2 linked regions of the Stegostoma tigrinum genome follow. The protein of the gene in region 1 purifies or fractionates together with the protein of each later gene. This does not show direct contact. Links are inferred from orthologs where the notes say so. Each region holds a gene or a part of one and is shown on either strand. Other genes may lie near its edges.

Evidence for each region. Proteins that work in one complex are often made in the same cells at the same time.
Region 2: the proteins of cabin1 (region 1) and ubinuclein-1-like purify together in Homo sapiens (affinity purification with western blotting; 6 studies listed by BioGRID, with this or other methods). This does not show direct contact. The link is inferred for Stegostoma tigrinum from reciprocal best matches to the Homo sapiens genes CABIN1 and UBN1.

The regions. Positions count from the first base shown.
Region 1 is NC_081379.1:47,094,042-47,101,393, forward strand, and holds the start of cabin1 (calcineurin-binding protein cabin-1), read left to right. Parts: upstream 1-4,285; 5' UTR 4,286-4,691; coding exon 4,692-4,694; intron 4,695-7,352. UniProt on the Homo sapiens protein: May be required for replication-independent chromatin assembly. May serve as a negative regulator of T-cell receptor (TCR) signaling via inhibition of calcineurin. Inhibition of activated calcineurin is dependent on both PKC and calcium signals.
Region 2 is NC_081376.1:47,043,604-47,050,977, forward strand, and holds the start of ubinuclein-1-like, read right to left. Parts: upstream 3,089-7,374; 5' UTR 2,779-3,088; coding exon 2,512-2,778; intron 1-2,511. Other genes in the region: glyr1 (cytokine-like nuclear factor N-PAC), read left to right, coding at 3,382-3,419, 3,622-3,658, 5,607-5,686. UniProt on the Homo sapiens protein: Acts as a novel regulator of senescence. Involved in the formation of senescence-associated heterochromatin foci (SAHF), which represses expression of proliferation-promoting genes. Binds to proliferation-promoting genes.

The DNA.
Region 1 (7,352 bases):
GACAATTGTTGAGCAGCTTCCTTGTTGAAAAGGTAGCATCTGGGAGATTTCCCGTTGGCAGTCTCTGTACTCATACATAAATCATTACTTTTCATGCTGGGTCCTGAAAAACAGGAAATGCAGCACTCAAATTTACCCACTCTTGTCCACCAATGACTTGATTCCAGCCTTATGACGTCAAGTGTTGAAGCCACCCAGCCCTGAAACAGTCCTATCATCCTCTTTCAGGGACGCAGGGCATTAATCTCAAGGAAGGAGACCTGCTGCGGATATGGGTATGGCCTGGCGCGAGACTTACACCATCTCCCCTGGATTTTCAAGGGCCAGCGAGAGCTCACTGGACGCCGTCGGAACCACGTTGCTTTCCAAGGCATGGGTCCCTCTCTTGGGGCGAACCCATTCAAGGGCACCCTGCCCTTCAGCCTGTTTGATTTATGCAAAGTTAAGGAAATGTTCAACATGGAGTCGCAACTTCTAAAATGCACTGGTAGCAGTGAAGTGTTTCTTTATCAAATATAGGTCAGCAACAGTACGGAGGAGGAACAAAATCATAGAATGCTGAACATATCAACAGAGAATTGCTAAACCAGCTCCAGTTTAAAATACCTCTAGTTCCAGGATTGCATAGAATCACAGAAATATTACAGTACAAAGAGGCCACCCTATCTTGTCTCCACTGGCTGTCTGGACAAAAATTGACTTCATGCATTTCCCATTTTCTCCTGATAATCCTGTACGTTTCCTCCTACCCTGATAAATTTAATTCTCATTTGAATGAATTTGAACCTGTCTCCACTACATTCTCAGGCATTGCAATCCAGATCTTAAGCAATCATTGAGGCTCTTCATACCTTCAACTGTTCACGTAAATCTCTTCTCACTTGAATACTTTCAAAGCTTTCCTAAAGTGTGGTGCCTAGAACTGAGCACGATGCTCCAGCCAAGGCTGAACTAGTGTTTTATATGAGTGTGATATAACTACCATGCTCTTGTATTCGATATCTCTAATAATAAAGGTCAGGATACTGTATGCTTATTATTAATGCTGTTTCAACCTCTCCTGTCACTTGTAGAGGCTTATGTACATATAATTCAGTTTCTCTGATCCTGTACCCTTTTTTAGAGTTGAGTTCTCTGTGTCCATGTTCCTCCCACCAAAATGTATCACTTTATAATTCTCCGCAATAGAATTCATCTACGACTTGTCACTGTCAACTTGTCTGACTTTTCAAAGTGCTGTACTATCCTCCTCATAGTTTACACTGCTTGAAATCATGTACAAATTTTGACATTTTGTCCTACACTCCAAGGTCTAGATTATTACTATATATGTACCAGGAAAAACAATGGCCCCAACACTGACCCTTGGGGAATTCCATGACAAAATTTCCTGCAGTCTGAAGAAATGTCCATTAACTACTACTCATTGTTTTGTCTCATACAACAGTTCCATATCCACATTGCTACTGTTCCTTTTATTCCATGAGCTTAGACTTTCCTCAAAAGTCTATTGTGTGGCATTCTGGAAGTCCACGAACGCTATGTCACATCATTGCTCTGATCAACTTCCTCCAATACCTCTTCAAAAAGTTTCAAAAATTTACTCAAGGTGAAAAATGTATTTTAAAATTCCCTAAGTAAGTGCCTGTGAATATTAATTGTATCCTGTATTGATTTTCCTGATAGATTCCCCAACGCAGAAATAAAGCTGACTGGCCTGCACTTACTGGCTCATCTTCATATTTTTTCTGGATCGAGTCTGCAATATTCGCAATTGTCCAGTCCTCTGGAACCACCCTTGAGTCAAGGGAAGTCAGAAAAATTATGGCCAGTGCCTCTGCAAGTTCCATTCTCACTTACTGTTCTTAGATGCATCTCATCTAGTCCTGGTGTCTGATCAACTTTTAAGTACAGACAGCCTACCCAATACTTTGTTCTCATCAAGTTCAACTTTTTCCATTCTTTCAAGAATTTTCCATTCTTTCACTATGGCCTGGGCAACAATTTCCTCCTTGGTAAAGACAGATGCACAGTCTTTATTTAATATCACAGCTAGATCCTTACGTCCATGTGTGTATACCGTTTTCAGTTCCTAACTGGCCCATTCCTTTTATTATCCTTTATTTGTTAGCCTACAGATGGCTTTGGTATACCTCTTTATATTAGCTGTCAGTCTCTTTGTTTCACTTGCTTTTTTTAAACCTCCTCTCTTAACAATTTATTCTCAGTCTGGTTCTCAGTTGTATTTTCCACCTGACATTGGTCATATCCGCAATGTTGTTTATCTTCATTTCTATCTCCTTAGTCTTATTTCATAGGAACGTTGGATTTGTTTGCCCTTCCTTTTCCTTTCAGGCACCTACTTGTGTGTGAACTATCTATTCTCTGAAGGCTACCTATTGTTCACCTTTGTTTTTTCTGGCAACATTTTACTGCAGTTTATTCAACTCAGTTTTTTTTACCCAACTGAAAGTGTAGAAACAAGTATGTTAGACCAGGGAAACCCAGTGGATGTTATCTATCTAGACTTACAAAAGGCCTTTGATACGGTGCCTCACGGGAGGCTGCTGAGCAAGGCGAGGGCCCATGGTGTTTGAGGTGAGCTACTGGCTTGGATTGAGGATTGGCTGTCTGACAGAAGGCAGAGAGTTGGGATAAAAGGCTCTTTTTTGGAATGGCAACCGGTGACAAGTGTCCGGCAGGGTTCAGTGTTGGGGCCACAGCTGTTCACCTTATATATTAATGATCTGGATGAAGGGACTGGGGGCATTCTGGCGAAGTTTGCCGATGATACGAAGATAGGTGGACAGGCAGGTAGTACTGAGGAGGTGAGGAGGCTGCAGGAAGATTTAGACAGTTTAGGAGAGTGGTCCAGGAAATGGCTGATAAAATTCAACGTGAGCAAATGCGAGGTTTTGCACTTTGGAAAAAAGAATACAGGCATGGACTAATTTCTAAATGGTGAGAAAATTCGTAAAGCAGAAGTACAAAGTGATCTGGGAGTGTTGGTCCAGGATTCTCTAAAGGTTAACTTGCAGGTAGAGTCTGTGATTAAGAAAGCGTATGAAATGTTGTCATCTATCTCAAGAGGGTTGGAATATAAAAGCAGTGATGTGCTTCTGAGACTTTATAAAGCTCTCATTAGGCCCCATTTAGAATACTGTGTCCAATTTTGGGCCCCACACCTCAGGAAGGACATACTGGTGCTGGAGCATGTCCGGCGGAGATTCACTCAGATGATCCCGGGAATGGTAGGTTTAACATACAATGAACAGCTGAGGATCCTGGGATTGTATTCATTAGAGTTTAGAAGGTTGAGGAGAGATCTAATAGAAACGTACAAGATAATGTATGGCTTAGAAAGGGTGGACGCTGGGAAGTTGTTTCCGTTAGGCGGGGAGACTAGGACCCGTGGGCACAGCCTTAGAATTAGAGGGGGTGAATTTAAAATGGAAACGAGGATACATTTCTTCAGCCGGAGAGTGGTGGGCCTGTGGAATTCATTGCCACTGAGCGTAGTGGAAGCTGGGCGTTAAATGTCTTCAAGGCAGAGATTGGTAAATTTTTGACCTCACAAGGAATCAAAGGCTACGGGGAAAGTGCAGGGAAGTGGAGTTGAAATGCTCATCAGCCATGATTAAATGGTGGAGTGGAAATGGCGGAGTGGACTCGATAGGCCCAATGGCCTTACTTCCACTCCTATGACTTATGGTCTTATGCGTTCTCCCACGTAATTATTCTTACTCTAGATTGCCCTTTGTCCAGGTCCATAGTCAGCTTAAATATTTTTACTTATTGTGATAAACATTATAATAAATATCTTAAATATAACGATGATCACTGACCCCTTAGACATCTTTGACCTACACCACCTCCTCCAAACCTACTGTGCGCCATCTTTAAAATCCAGACGTATGATTCCCCGCTTGACAGTCAATCAACAGCCCGCCCCCTGCGCATCAGGCCGCTCCCCCTTCATGTCTGGCCCGCCCACGTGCAACTGGCCCCACCGCCTGCACGTCCAGCTTCGCCACAAGCGCAGCTGTCCCCGCCCTAAATGACCAAGCTCCCCGCCCCCCGCCACCCCGCCTCCCCGGGCCCCTGCTCACCTGTCACCGACCCGAGCAAATACCGCCCCGCCCACGGAAATCAAGCCGCGACCCCGGACCGTCCAGATACACCCTCAAGCCTCCAGCCCGGCCGGGCTTCCAGAGCCGCCCACCTCAAGCACCGCCCCCTTTGCGTCTTGGCCCCACCCCATGGGTGTTTTGACCCCGCCTACTTGCTCCCCAAACTCCGCCTGTGAGCTCTCCGGACGAAGCCTGTAGATTCCACCCACTGGATTCCTAGATCCCGTCCTTGTGCTCCAGTCACGGCCCAGTGGATCTGTAGGCGCCCCACTTGGGATCCGTGGATCCCGCCTACTGGATCTCCCGATCCCGCCAATTCGGTCATATCGCGGCCGTTAGTTGCTCAGCGGAGAGATCTATTTGGGAGAGCCAAATGGTGTTCCCAGCCAATAGGAAGCCGGTTTATTGTGCTGTAGGCTCGGTCCCATGGTAACGGCGAGGGACAGGGCTGGATGTTGAGAGCTGGCGGCATCCCCTGGCCTTAGGCTTCAGTCTTTGGACCGCCGGCCAGCTCTCCGAGAGTGAGTGAAGCCAGGAGCTGTCTGTGGCTCGCGGAGCAGGATGGTGAGTGAGCGGTACCTGATCTTCAGGAATGGGGGCGGGGGGATGACTCCGTTGGGCTGCAGTGCACTGCACACAGGCGGGAGCTCGCATTTTGCGGAGGCCCAGCTCCTAGTAAGCAGCTCCAGGGCAGGGGTAGGCTGCCCTGCCCTGACCTGTGAGGGTACAGAAACCAAGAGAGCTCGCAGGGTGCTGTCCCCATCAACACAGCTACTGCTGTCGGCCCTGGAAGCTCTTAGCTTTGCGAATGCATCCTTCAGTCAAAGCACCGGGAATGAGCTGGATAAATGAATGTGGAAACACGCAAATGATCCATCCCTTGGTTTGTTTTGTCCTGGATGGTGTTACTTTTTATTGGGGGGTTGTTCCGTGGTGCTGCTGCTGCGCCGTTCCAACAAGTGAGGAAATAAAAGCAGGAAATGCTGGAACTTATGAACCAGTACTGGTGGAGAGAGACGCTGTAAACATTGCAGATGGAGGGTTTGTTTTTTTTCATGAACTCATGTTGATGTGGGAGAGGCTTTGAGGGGTCATTTAGTGGATCGGAGTCAGTATGCTGTTTTATGGCTAATAGTATCGATATAACTGGCCCAGTTGAGTTTATGCTCAGTGGTGATGTCCAAGATGTTGATGGTGCTGCTGAAGGTCAGGCGAAGGTTATTTTCCCTTGTGAAGGTTGCCATAATTTGGCACTGATGTTGTGTGAATGTTATCTGCTAAATTTCAGTCCAATTGAGAATGTTATTCAAGTCGTTTTGTAGACAAACCTGCACCTAATATGAATGAACTGAACGTTGTAATTGCCGGTGAAATGTCTGGTAGGAAGATTTCCTTCTGTGCTGTAAGTGCCAAGAAATGATTGAATACTTAAATAACTTGTGATGTAGAAATCTTTCTCTTCCTTCTGCAATTATGACATGCTTCTTGGTGTACACAGATACTGAATGGAATGTTAACCTGATTGTTGTATGGTTCACAGTTTCACTTGTTTTTGGGCTAGCCATAAAGATACCACAAAAAAGTTGTCTATCTGGCATTTGAGCGTATAAGGTTTGTTGAATTACCTAGCAACTGCATTATGGGCACTTTCTTCATCATAACTTTACTGAAGCATTAACAGAGATAATGAAGATGATGATTTTTATGGTTGCACCCAGGTAGGTTTTACTCTTTAAAAAGTGCAAAAGAGTTGCCTTAAAAGTTCCTCATAAAATCTGGTAGGTCCTGATGTTATTGACAGTGTAATTTGCTTGTCATCTGGAAGGATTGACTTCCCTCCATGTTACTGCTGTCACCAAGAAAACATTCAGACAGGGCTGAGTGTGATATGCTCATACTGTGTCTACCTGAACTTGCAAAACTCTTGATGCTTTACGTGAAGAGAATGGGAGCAGTATTATGCTCTGGTAAAGTAGGGATAATGTAAGGTCCATTCCTGGTAACAAATGCCACAGTACTTCTATCTGGGTTGAGAACTTAACACCAGAATTGCATTAGAGAACATTTGGTTGTTATAGCCTTTTCAATAGTCTTTTTGTGGTAGCTCTTGTCTTTTTGATTAGAAAGTGGGCTCATACCTCAGTCCAGTACTTTGGAGTATGTGGAATAAAGATCTCTAATTTATAACAATCAAAGGGGCCTTACTTTAATGTTTAATTCAGAAAGTGCCATATCCGGTGGTGCACCATTTCCCAGATATTGCGCTGTTTGGACACTCGTACACAAGAATGTACTCTTGGAGTCCTTCTGGTCAGTCATTTTTGAATTTCCAATATGTCACCGTCTTTTCTGAGTTCATTTCCAAAACTAACCATTCCATACTGGGTCACTATAATTGATCTGATCCCTGCTTAATTAGTGTGTTTATTTTTGCTTTTGTGAATTTGGTAAAATAACATTTTGAATGTCTTCCTTTCAATGTACTGGATCTCCATTATAATATAGTACTTGCTGTTTCTTTGTTGGTTAGGTGCCAGATATATGCAGCAATCCATTACTCTGAATAGGAGCCTGCAAACCAATTACTACTGTGATATTGTCCTACGCCAGGGAAGAGTTCCCCCAGCCCTCACCCCTGTCACATACAGGAGATATCAGCTAAAACTATGAATTTCCAATGTTGCATCCTTTCCTACTTGGCCTGTTTTGGCCAATGTTATCGTATCCTTTTAGAATTTAGAGTTATTAGGAGCTGAATGGTAAAATCTCTTTGTGGATTGGGCTTCCAAAAATCATGATCCAAATCAACCTACCATCTCTCAGGCCTGCTCAGGTCCTGCTGGTCTCATATACTTTTGTTCAAAGTTTCCACAGTAAATTCTCTCCTCTTGAAGCTTTCACAACTTGATATACCTGCACTGACCCAAAGAAGACTGTCTTTTTTAATCATTAGACTACTGAGGGAAAATGTTGAGCTGTTGCTGGGCATGAATCGGATGCTGTGAATCCCAAATTCAAGATTTGAAAACGTTTTTGCTATAATGTGGCAGACACACAGTTTCTTATTTGTCGCCACCCTATCACCATCAAACTCATCCTAGTCTTGTTTAATGCTGAACCCTATATTCTAGTCACTGTCCCAGGTAATACCTTTGCTATTATATAGCTTCCTGATCTTTTGTATAATGGATATTGTCTACATTTCATTGGGCAGAGCTGAAA
Region 2 (7,374 bases), on another chromosome or scaffold:
TACCAGGTTAGTAATTAATACAGAATACAGTTTAAGGTTGACACTTTTGGGGTTGCAAAGCTTTACCAGTCAAAGACCACCAAAATTCATGCTTTGCCTCCAAGACGAACCTTGAGTTTGTATTAGCAATTCACTGAATGTGCCCTTCATAAGTAACAGACAATATGAACAAAGGTGAAGTGATACCTTTTGCTCTAAAATAGTTTGTTCCGATGCCATAATGTGTAAAAATATTAAAGGAAGAGACAGGGATAGTTCAAAGTTGGGATCAAGAATGAGGGGTAAAGGTGATAGCCGGAATCTGGAGCAAGGGGTTTGGAGAAATTCACAATTGAACAAATCTGAAATTCAGTCCCATCGTTTATGGTTGACAGAAATTCTTGGCAGCATTTAACTGGATAGGCAAATGAAGGAACGGAGCGGAAAAGACTTGAGAATAGTTTCAGCAAATGAGAGTAGAACTATACCCTTGTATGGAGTATCAACATTTGACAATGGACTGGTTCTGAGTTATCTATTTCTGTTACTTGTGAATTAAAGACCCAACTTGGAACTACTTCCCTATGCAAAAAGCAGATAAGAGCTTGAATCAACAGTTTGTTACATTTGGCACACAGCAGATAAACTAAGTCAGTGTGGCTGTGATGTACCTTTGAAAATGCATTGTTTGCAACAATGGGACATAAACATTGAAGTATTGAGAGAAGTTAACCATAGTAGTGGAAAGGGCTAATGTTCTTTGCAACATTTAGCCTGAAAAAGATTTTAGAGGAACTATGCATCCAAAACATGTGCATTCAGAAACAGCTGTTAGTAAATATAGGCAATTCATTGGTTGGGGACATTAAAGGAGTAAGATTGTGCTTAAAATTCACATATCACATACACTTCAAAACTGCCTCTGAAAAACTTTAAAATGTATGGCTCATGTCAGCCAAACATTCATGTGGGTTTGCAACATGGCAAATCAGCAAAAGCACTAAGTCAGATTGTAGAAGGAAATCTTAACAGAAGGAATGAAAACTTGCCCCAATCTTGGTTCCGACTACCTGATTCTTAATCTTTCTTAATAAAATATTTGATATTATGTTTTGGTTAAATCACTCAAAAATAAAACCCAAGTGCCTCTATTTTAATCCCTGTGAAATTTACAATCAAGCAACTTTGGAAAAAGAAGTTTGATTATATCAATGCAGCTGGTTTGCTTTCCTGGACCTTCCTCTTTAAAAGTGAGATCAAAGCAACAATTCAACAAAGCAGAAAAGTCTTCACAATTGTGGAAACCCTGAATTCATCTTATTTGCTCAATATCTCAGATTTGGTTAGGGTGGAATGCAATGCAAGAACAAAGAGGATATGAAATCATTATTTCATCTTCCCACCAACATGACAACCGATTCTGAACCTTTGTATATTTAATAGCAACTGTTCACTTTCTATCATTTCACAGGCAAAGCCCATTTCTGGTTAAATGCTTTACAGTGGAAATTGTAATTGTTGATTCTATAGTCTGCTCTGTGCTCCACTCACACTTGGTGTCTCCTTTTCTTTCTTCCACAAACACAGTTCATTTTATTGAGGCCACCTATGGGATTGAGTCGGGCTACATATACGTCACACGAGAACATCAGTGTGTGGTTTAGCAAAGCTTTCAGGATAACATGAGTCAAGAGAAAGGCTCCAAGTCAGATCAAATGTGATTCTAGATCTCTACTCCAATTTTATTTCAGTATCATATCTTCTGTTCTCTTTTGCTAACTTGCCTATACAATACACTAAGAACTAGTTTCAAGATGCCAACATGGATTCAATATTTTAATTTCAACAGCCTGATCTCAAGTGCTAGACCTAAATACAAAGCAATGTTGTAGTTTACCAGACTTCAACATGAAAACTGCTTTTGTCACATGCAATCAAGTTTATTTTATGTTCATGTTGTTCTGAATTATTCAGTTTTGAAAAAATCTTATTTGTGAAAACAAATCATTTTGAGAGCTAAATTTACATTCTGACTCATGAATAACCAGGATACGACAACAATCGAATAAAGCGGCTACTAATACAGAACACTAAATCCTACTGTTTAATTTCCAGATCGATTATTGCTTGAAACTTTCAGCAACATTAAATTAATGGGGCGGTCTTGAACAACAGAAAACAGTAGCTGATTAGGTCACGTCAACTAGATCAGATATATGCAATACCATCTGTCCCTGTTTAAAATACGACATTGAGCAGGATTAACGTGTCGGTGCAAACTCTGAACTAACTAGGAAAAGCTAAACTAATTTTAATGCCCGGAGCGGTAAGGGAGAGCTTCTACCTCTTTTCAAATTAAATATTCTCCAAAATTAATTCCAAAAAGACGGGGATAGATTGTTTCTGTATTAACGGTGACTCGGCGATGGGGGGGGGGGGGTGGTCAAGGGGAGGGGGTGTACTCTAGATCGAGAGCGTCTGCGTTACTTTTCACGCTGGAGTCTGCCGCTGGGAGAGACGAGGATCGCTCACCTTCCGCACTCGCATCAACTCGGGGTAGAAGAACTCGGGGCAACTCTTCTCGCTCGACTCAAAGAGAGCCAGCGTGTGGCGCGAGGTGACGGCCGCTATTTCCCCCTTCAGCACCATCACGGCCGTCGCCTCCTCACCCCCTTCCTCCTCTTCTTCTTCCTCCTCCTCCTCCTCTTCCGCTGCCTCCTCCTTGTCTTCTTTCTTCTTCTTCAGGAGAGGAGCGGACACGGGCAGGGTAGTCAGGGACACTCGTCGCGGTTCGGCCATGTTGCGAGTCGCGCGGGACCCACTCGCTCGGCCGCTCTTTATATATATTTTTTGTCAACACCTTTCCCCCCACTTCTCCTCTCTGTCTTCACCCTGTCGTGTTGGCGGAGAGGAAGGGGATAATCTAAAACAAATAAAAGAACCGCTGACAGGAAGAAGCGGGGGAGGGGTAGCGGTGGCGGGCAATCACAATCCCTTCAACAGCAACAAAAACAAACCCGACAAAACTTCGGCCGCCGCCATCTTCCCGAGCTGCCGCGCATGCGCGCGCGCACACACGCGCTCTCCGCGGGCGCGCGCGTTTTTTTGGGGGGGCGGGGTTTGTGGCGGGGGAGGGGAAGCGAGTGTTTCCGAAACGCAGCCCCTCCCCCTCCATCCTTTTCCTCGGGAATTCCATCTCGTTCGCTTCGCGACACGGAAAGAAAAAACATTCGTAAAATAAATCCGTTGAGGAGTTTGGGGAGGGGGTGGGGCGTTGACCTTTCACCCGGTCGTGTCACGTGACGGGGAGGAGGCAGGCGGGCGGGCCGACGGACGGAGGGCCCCGGGCTGGGGGCGGGGTGTCGCCGTTGAGAGGGCGATGGACGAATTCCTCTGAGGAAGATGGCGGCTGTCAGCTTGCGGGTGGGGGATCTGGTCTGGTAAGAGGCAACAGCGGCTTATGATCGCTCTCCTTTCAACCCGATCGCGCGGGCAGCTTGTTTAGTTCTCCGGCCAGCCGCTGTCATCGAGTGTCGTTTTTATTTTTCTTTGATAGAAAAGCTCCTACCTCCCGACACACACACACCAACCCCTCTCACGAAAAAAAATAATCGCTTATGCTCTTTCTTTCCCTTCTCTCAGGGGCAAACTGGGTCGATATCCACCCTGGCCAGGAAAGGTGAGTGCGAAACACAACGTTTAAACGTTTCTTTCTTCCCACCTCCTTCCTTGTCCCTCTTTGCCTGTGTTATTTGTGGAAGGCGAGTGGGGAGTTTTGTGGATGAGGATCACTGGGGTGGGACAGAGCAAAGCACTATCCAGTTTTCATGTCGTGGAGGGATCTGGACAGAGGATCCCAAGACCGACCCCGCCAGCCTTTTCTCCTTCGCTCTCCCTATGAGGAAATCGAGCTTGTTTTATTGGGCGAGTGGCGGTGCTCCTTCACTTTGAGCCCGTTCTGTTCAATGTTCAGAGCGATTGACTGCTGAAACCGGATTGTTTCCACCGCGATGGGTGTTCCCTGTTAAAGTTACTATCGAAAGGACTCAGTTTCTGAAAACAAACGGCTTTAGTTTAAAGAGCTAATCCTCGAGTTGTAGATCTGCTTCCACATTTTGAAGGTACTCCTACGAGGAGTTACACCCTGTGGTTTCGTAGCTAGTGCTCCGCCTTCTTTGGTGAACAGGGTTTTACATTATTTTCCCTACGTCGTATAGAACACCTTTTTTGTTCCTTGTATTCCGTCAATGCTATTGCAGTGATTATGCTAACATTTAGGTTAGATTTGTGCGCTTTGAAGGTTAATAGTAGTAATGAGACGATCAGCTGATCCCAGAATTAATGGCAAAAGTATGATGAACTGATGACTGAGCAGTTTTGATGCACTGCCACATTGTTTGAAGTAGGATTATTGGAAGACATTCAGGCCATTACAGTCAGCATTTGAAGTGAAATGTAAAGTTGTTGCATGCTAAAACTGGAATCAGTATTGCAAGAAATTCTGGAACATCATTTGGCTTTCGGCCTTGATCAAAAATTTGGAGGGAATTATTCTAATTCTTTTTGTCAATTAGCATCAACTAGTACGAGGTATGAACTGGCAAGACAGCTTCAAAATAAAATTTGTTAGAGGCTCCTAAATAACTAGCGATACTATCTTTCAATCCCAGATTTATTTTTTGAATTTAAATTCCATCAGCTTCCTTGGTGGGTTTGCATTTCTCCTCTCCAGAGCATCCGTTTGAATTTCCGGATTACTAGTTCAGGAACATTATGGTCATCCTGCTATTTTGCCCTATCTATTGACACAAAAGTCAAATAAATAATTACTTACATGGAAACTGATGTTTAAAAATAACTGGAAGGCGAAGGATCACCTCATTGGAACAAATCAAAAGTTAAATACAAAGATTAGTTCCTTCTGTGTAAGAAATCTTGAAAGTAAGTGCTTTTAAACACTACAACATTTGAAACACTTGTCTCAATGCAACATTTAATTTTTTTTTTCTCTACGGCTACCTTACCCTGACTTCTGACCTGTTTGGGACTGGAATAAAAAGTGGCTACGTTTATTAGTGTCGTTATCCCATGGAAGTGTTTTTGTCGGATAGCAATTTCTGGAATTTTTTTTAAAGATCACATTTGAACGTATCAGCAGTTTCAGATAAATCGTTCTAAAATGGCTTGTTGCTTAATATGAAACAGCCCTTTTGCAGTCAATGATGTACTTCACTTGCCTGGATCAACAACACATGGGAAATGCAGAGTGGGCATGGTATGTAGCACCTATACTATGCATAACAGCAATTTGCCAAGGCTTCTGTGACCACACCTTCCAAAGACAAACGTAATGGATGACTCCACTCATTGCAAGTTCCTTTCTAAGCCAAGAACCATCCTGATTTGGAATTATTTTGCTGTTCCTGGAACTCCCTTCCTAACAATACTGTGGGTGTCACTTCAATGGAAATCAGCCATTTACTGATCTGATTATTCGATTATATGTTGTAGTGACTGCCATTCTGGATCTGAAAAGTTATGATTAGCTCTTTTTTTTTCCTCCCGAGATGAAGTATGATTCTTATTTATGACCAATTTAACATTTTAAAAATTTTTTTTGTTGTAAGATTGTTCATCCACCCAAAGATCTCAAGAAACCACGGGGGAAAAAATGCTTCTTTGTGAAATTCTTTGGAACTGAAGACCAGTAAGTCACTTATGCTTTTCCAAATATGTTTAAAAATAATTCAGCGTTTATCACAGATTATTTCCTAAAACATTTATGCAGTGTTTTGTTGTATTAGATTAAACAATCTTGCTACAATCTCCCAAATATGATCTTGCCACCTTGCAATTATTTACTCATCTCTTCCGTGAGATTTTTCTTCTGTTATTTGACACTTCCCATTCAATCTTTATCAGTTAACGGCCCCTGGCACCAATCCAAGACGTAACAATATGAAAAGTAGGATATTCAGCCTCTTGAAACCTATACTGCTATTCAGTTATGTTTTGCTGATCTGTACCTCCACTCCATTCACTTCTTTTTAACTCCTTGTCCTAAAGCACTTGCTAGCAAAGATCAGCTTTGGATGAATTTTTCAGTTTCTCACAGCTTTCTGAGGGAATGTGTTCCAGATTTCCACTATCTGTTCTATTTCAAAGAGCTTCCTGGTATCACCCCAAAAAGCTTTCAAACTTTAATGCTCTGCCCCTCTTGTCCTGAACCCTCTGAGAGGCAATGATTTCTTTGTGTACCCCATCCAGTCCTCTAACCATCTTAAACCTCATCAATTCTCCTTTTTTTTACCTGTAATCACTACCATTTTCAAAATTGGTGCTAATGCATTCTAATCCAAAAATGCAACTAGCTTAAAGACAAGTATTTGAAAGTATTATTGCCTGTAACTCTGTGCCCAACTTATCTGTTTGAATCTTTCTGTTCTGGGTTTTGCATACGACACATTAGTAAGATAACCATGGCCTCAGTCATAAAAGACATCTGAAATAACTGACCGAGCTTGCTTTCTCTCTTACCGCCTTGAACCGTTTCTAGCATCTGATGTGTTTAACGATTGATGCTGTCCTCCAGTACACGTTCATTCTCTAGCTGTGTGGGATTGTGTGTTTTCCCCCTTCACTCATGGGTCACAGCCAGTCAATCCCCAGCAATCACCTTGCTATTTTTTCCCCACATTTGCCGATAGAGGCCCTCCAAGGATCTAGCCTGGCCTACTGTTGCTCATCCCTGTGGTACTACATGTTTAAAATCAGTTAACTTTCTATCCGTACACTCCCAAGCCCGAGCTTTTCTGCTATCTACTACTTTTTCTCCTGGTCCTGGATGGATGACATATTCCTCCATCAAATTTCAGGAAAATCAAAGCCATTGTTCTTGCCATTTGCTTGAAAACCTATCTGTTTCGAAGTCAATTTGCTGTTGCTCACTTAAGTGACCAAATAAATCTTGGGATGTGATGTTTAATGCTGAGCTGAGTTTAGAATCCTGCATCATGTCCATGACAGAAACTACCTGTTTTCATTTACATACATTGTCTGCTTTGCATAAAATCTATTCCCAGTTTTTTGCTGTCTCTAGGAGGTTATTCCAATGCTCTTTGTGCTGCTCTTTGTTTATGTAATGAAGGTGCTCAATGTATTTTATATTGTTAGTTTCTTTTCACCTTCGGATGTGAGAAGCTGAGTTACAGATGACTTGGTTATTCCAGTTGTTCATGGGTCGAGTATAACCTATTTAGATTTGGTCCTACAGTGCAGCTGTGAAGTAATTAAGATAATCCTTGCTTTCCGTTTAGCACAAATTAGGTTCCTGCTCTCCCTTGCAATGGCATGTTTCCAATGAATTTCAGGAAAGATGGGATTAAAGGATCCATC